Danio rerio: one gene and its partner. The protein of the gene in region 1 purifies or fractionates together with the protein of each later gene. This does not show direct contact. Links are inferred from orthologs where the notes say so. Each region holds a gene or a part of one and is shown in the gene's direction. Other genes may lie near its edges.

Evidence for each region.
Region 2: the proteins of slc6a15 (region 1) and klhl36 purify together in Homo sapiens (co-immunoprecipitation; 3 studies listed by BioGRID and IntAct, counting the BioPlex papers as one, with this or other methods). This does not show direct contact. The link is inferred for Danio rerio from reciprocal best matches to the Homo sapiens genes SLC6A15 and KLHL36.

The regions. Positions count from the first base shown.
Region 1 is NC_133193.1:17,538,591-17,542,090, reverse strand, and holds part of slc6a15 (sodium-dependent neutral amino acid transporter B(0)AT2), read left to right. Parts: intron 1-121; coding exon 122-232; intron 233-3,008; coding exon 3,009-3,250; intron 3,251-3,337; coding exon 3,338-3,500.
Region 2 is NC_133193.1:14,461,764-14,464,349, reverse strand, and holds the end of klhl36 (kelch-like protein 36), read left to right. Parts: coding exon 1-223; 3' UTR 224-2,086; downstream 2,087-2,586. Other genes in the region: zgc:56622 (uncharacterized protein), read right to left, coding at 2,131-2,164, 2,552-2,586.

The DNA.
Region 1 (3,500 bases):
GTGTAATACGGTTTAAAAAACGCTAGCATGGAGAATAGAGATCAAAATGTTATTTTTTTATCAATTATAACATTATACGTTTACATTATTTACTAATTGTTTTGGTCATGTGTGATTGCAGGTGATGTACTTCAGCTCTCTGTTCCCTTACGTGGTGCTTATTTGTTTCCTGGCTCGTGCTTTCCTGCTTAAGGGTTCTGTGGACGGCATCATCCACATGTTTACCCCCAAGGTAAGACACAATGCAGAGCAGATGACATGCTGCCACAATGATTAGACCAATTTACCTGACATGCTCTGCTTCATACATCAGCAATTAATCCAATTCATTCAAAATGATCATAATCACCCATTACTAATTCCCATGTGTATTCTTCGTCTCGGTCCAGTGGAGACTAGTAGGTGTATCTATGGAAACAATATACCCGCCAGATATGCCAGCATGCATTTGTGACGTGATTCAACAGAAGTGAATTAACTCTTTTCTTAGCAAAGCCTGAACGCAGTTGACTGTCTTGTTGTGGCCGTTATTGTACATAATAAACATGCAACATGCAGAAACAAGACGTGGTCATGTTTCTCAGTGCTCGGGCTGTCAATGTACCCCTTGTTGTGTTACTAAAGAGTCTTATCAGTGGGTGGTTTGTGCTTCGCATAATTAAATGATAGTATGTAGCCTCTGCTTTTAAAAAATAGTACTGCTACCACATCATCCATAATGGTAACTGCAGAGCCATTACAATTATTGCATTGTTAAATAAGGAAAAAAAAAACAGTCATTTTAGTAATTCGATGATTTATAACCATAGACAGAATATAAAAAGATGTATATTTAGGCTTTTTAGCACTTTGTATGTTCCAAACCTGTTTGTTTTTCTCAGAGTTCAGATACAAAAACCTCTAAATGCCATCTGAAGTTTTCTGCTAAAATGAGCCCTTTTCTCAGCCTCCTATGTTTATATTGAAGTATTTCACTTTGAAGGCAATGAAATGAACTTATTCATGATTATAAAAGTAAAATTTCTGAGCCCACCCACAATGGTCCGAGAAAAATACTAATTTTAGAAGAAAGTATCAAATGGCATTTAGAGGTTTTTGCATCTAAACTCTTCATATATTCTTTATAAAATCCAGAATCAAACAAAAAGTGCTTCAGGAGTAATTAATGTGTCGGTGCTCATTAGATAAGGGATTCTTAAAGATGCATTTAAAAACTCTGAGCTGCATAATATATCATCTGAGCATGGATATTGCAATTTGTATATCAGCAATAGTTACATCGCAGGATTAATTATTTATTAAAGATAAAAAGATAAAGATATTATTATTTGAAAATGATTTATACAATGATTACTGTTATTTTACATTTGGTTGCTGTACTTAAATACAGTTTGACTCTCCAGAAAACCACAAAGCTTATCTAAAAGTTTATATAACTTTTATTTTTTGCTTTGTTGTAGTTATATATACTTGTAATGTTTTAAATCTTATGCAGATGCACTGCATAGAAAAAGACTTGATCATCCTAGTTGAAGCAAATGAATGAAATCTTTTCAAATATAGCTACTGAAATCATCTGGTGAAATTATATTCATATCGTTCTCGTAATATGTATCGCAGCAAAACAAAATATCACAATGTCTGATTTTTTCCAATATTGTGCAGCCCTGAGTCCAACCAACACAATCTCACAGCAATTCGTAACTTTTTGATTTAGTGGCTAACTCATATGAATTCATACGATCTAATTCGTACAATTTAATACGATTTGCTCATCACCCAATGACCGTTGGGTTTAGGGATGGGGTTGAGTGCCACGCCTCCTTTTTTTAACTTAGTTTTTGTACTTTCTAAACATCTCAAAACGTTTTTTATATTCCAAAAAGTCTTAGTGTGTCAACCATGTAAAATGTACAAATATAAATTCTTCCCCATTATATACTATATAAATAAGTCTAAAAGCAATTTTATATTGACCTATCGTCGTTTTCGACAGTTAATTATTAAAATTATTATTATTTTTGTAAATATTTTTATTGTTGAGTTTTTTATATACATTTTACTCAAAACATATGCATTTCAATGGCAAATCCACATAACTGATAATATCATTGATGTGGTCACTTAATCTTTTTATAGAGCTACACATTTCTGTGTAAATATGTTCTTTAAAATATGTAGTTTAAGCCAATGTCTAAAAAAGTATTTTATCTACAGTCAAGCCTGACATTTTTTATACCCCAGGCAAATTTGGACTTTTTTCACCAGAAATGACATAGGTTTCCCCCAAGAGATAATAGTACAATTTACAAGAGGCATCATTGTGGAAAAAAAAGATTTATCTGATTTTATTTACATTCAAACTAAAATTTTAATTTTGATTGTAATTATTAGTCAGCAGGAGTGAAAGAGGCAGTCATCCACTACTGAAAAATCTACTTCACAGTTTAATATATTTCCAGATATGTTCCATATTTCCATATGTACATGTACCAAATTTTCAATATACAGTTGAAGTCAGGATTATTAGCCCCCCTGAATTATTAGCCCCCGCTGTATATTTTTCCCTAATTTCTTCATCAATAGATTTAATAACTGATTTCTTTTATCTTTGTCATGATTACAGTAGATAATATTTTACTAGAAATTTTTCAAGAAACTAGTATACAGCTTAAAGTGACATTTAAATGCTTAACTAGGTGAATTAGGCAAGTGATTGCATAATGAAGGTTTGTTCTGTAGACATTTGAAAAATATTGCTTAAGAGGGCAAATCATATTGACCTTAAAATAGTATTGAAAAAAAATAAATAACTGTTTTTATCCTGGCTGGAAAAAAAACAAATAAGACTTTCTCCAGAAGAAAAAATATTAGAGGAAATACTGTGAAAAAATCCTTACTCTGCTAAACATCATTTGAAAAAAAAAACAGGAGGGCTAATAATTAGTTTCCTACACTCAGCATGTGAAAACTAATACTACAATATCAACTTCAATATCTTCTCACAGCTGGAAATCATGCTAGAGCCTAAAGTGTGGCGTGAAGCTGCGACGCAGGTCTTTTTTGCTCTGGGACTCGGTTTCGGTGGTGTTATCGCCTTCTCCAGCTACAACAAACGGGACAACAACTGCCACTTCGATGCAGTGCTGGTTTCCTTCATTAACTTCTTCACCTCCGTGTTGGCCACTCTAGTCGTGTTTGCTGTGCTGGGCTTCAAAGCCAACATCATGAATGCCAAATGTGTGGAAATGTAAGTGAAAACACTCCATAAACGTTATAAAACTCAATATAGAGCCAGCGACCTTACAGTTGATTTTCTTGTTGTAATGTGTTTTAGGAACACAAAGAAGATCATTGGTTTCCTTGGCAAAGAGATCAATCCAGGCTTGATCCCACACCATATTAACTTCAGTCAGGTTAGCCCTGAGGACTACCAGCAAATGACCAACATTATCCAGGGCGTGATGGAAAACGATTACCCACGCCTAGGCTTAGACAAC
Region 2 (2,586 bases), about 3.1 Mb from region 1:
CAGGTATGCTAGCAGTGAGGCCGGTTTAGCAGTGCTGAATAGAAAGATCTATGTTTTGGGAGGTTATAGCTGGGAGACCATGGACTTTTCACAGGGCACTCAAGTGTTTGATCCAGACAAGGAACAGTGGACTTTGGGTCCAAATCTGCCAAAGCATATTGCTGGACCTTCGTGTGTGTGTCTTATCAAACCTGAGCTAATCGATAGTATAGACACTGAGTGAGTTAAACATAGCTCCAATCAGGAGCACCATAAGTGATTGACTGGGTGTCTTCTTCTAAAGAACTAAACTATTAAAACTTGGGTTGTCAAGACAAAATCGATTGGATGCTTCTCAGAGCCTTTAAAAAAAGGTCAGAAGACAATACTGTGCTGTCAGGCCTCGAATAGAAGCATAAACTAACTTTGTAGGTTTTCTTACAGTTTTTTTTTATTTTTTTAAAGATGTCTTTGATGTTTGATTTGCATTTAAAACATTGTTTATTCAAAAAAGAAATCTGGTTAAAGGATATCAGCAGTTTGGAGAGTCAAGAAGCATATATAGGCAAAACAAAATTAATATGTGTGGGTTCTGATGATACATTGAGGTAATATAAAGTGAAATGGTCAAGAAACTGAACAATATTTACAACATTACCTGTACACTGCAGCCTTAACAAACAGCCCTGAGCATGTTCACAGTTCATAAAACGCCAATCACCAGAGTTTCAGGTAATAATCTTCTTTAAAGAGTAAAGAAAACCTTTAGGCGAAGTCTACCTCAGAGATTTTTTGTTAAAATACAACTTAAGTGTGCATGGAAAGCTGTGAGCAGAAGGTTGGGGAGTGGGTGTGGTGGAGCAAAGCAGGGGAGAAAGAGGAGAGGGTAACCGTCATCTGCCAGTGGCCCATATTGACTCTGACTCGTGAGGAAATGCTAAATTTTTATATTTAAAGAATACTTATTTTAACATTTAGACAGACATTAAGCAGATTTGAAGGGACAGAAGTGTCCTTGGCCACTTGAGTGTTTGAAAGTTGGGTCTCAGTGTTTGAATGCCGTGTCAATTTACTGACTGATCTGCTGATAGACGTGGCTTTCAAATACTCTACTGTCTGCCTGCATCTCTTGTAAACCTGTGATCAATAGAGCCCATCACTTTAGAGTCATATCAATCAATCAGCAGTGTTCAACAATCCACTCAGCAGCGCTCAAAATGCAAGTGGGAAATGCTGTAATCAGTACATATTTTTAAATTTAGTACATGCTCAAAGAGTTTGCCACAACTGACAACATGAATGCCTAATTACTGTCTGTTTGGTCTTGGAACTTGACCTAACAATTCTTCTCACAGGATAACAAAACTTAGTCTAATGTCATCATACAGTGTACTTGAGTATGTCCTATGCTAAATCACCAGAAATGACACAGGCACAATATAAATTTCAAACACAGAAGATGAAAATATGAGGGAAAGCTGAAATGTAGCTAGTTATTCCCTACAATTAAAGCTAACAGATGCTAATGTTGTCTTAAATGTTCAAGACACACAAATCTGTGCATTTAGTCCAGAGGTTCACGAACCTTTAATGTTCTAATGGAAAATAAGTTCATCTTTAATGACCAGAGAATGAGCAAATAATAGCACATTTAAATCAGCTAACAATCCCTTTAACAACAATACCAGTCAGATTTTTAATTATTAATTTGTTTTATTTTTGCTTTTAACAGGCAAGGACAATGATGATGTACAATATAATGTTACAAAAGATTTCTTATCAAAGTTTAGCTGTCCTATTTGTCCTGAAAAAAAGTATCACAGTGTTCGCAACAATAGTAAGCAGTGCAACTGTTTCAGCATTCATCATTGTTTCTTAAGAGCCAAATCAGCATATTAAAAAGGTTTCTATAAAACTCACCACATTAATAAATTACATTTTAAAATACATTTAAAGTATTATTTTTACATTTCTGTTATTTCTAACAGTATTTCACTGATCATTAACATTTGAATGTTATTGTATACCTTAATGCTTATCTTGTGAATCTAATATGCTGCATTTTATAGCAATGCATTAAAATCTCTTCCAGAAGTGCTTGACCGTTGATTTTCCTATGTGGGTTCTTTGTCATCCAAGACTAACAGCATTTTACTTGAAGGGGTAGAAGTAATGTGCTTCCAACCTAAAGAGCAATAACACCATACTGTTAATTACTATCTTGGAAACACTGTTATTCCTGTTTGCAATCAGATCACTGTTTATGTACCCACATTAACTAGTGCAACATTTTGTATTGTTTCATACAGAGCAGTTTATTTATTTTGACCTTTATTTCCAAATGAAAAGGTTGGAAGCAATATTGACTGAATTTTAACATCCCTTGTTTGATTTGGGATGTTACATTTTAAGCATAACTTAAATGCAAAATAAGAAAAAAAAATCATCTTGAAAGGTTTATCGTTGCATATTATATGCTGTTTACATATGCATGACAATGTACTTGGACTGTTTTGTGTAAATGCCTCCTTGACCTTTACTATTAAAATAACTGAATTCAATATACTCTTACTCTGTTATGATGCAGGCCCTCCAGCCTCTATTCAA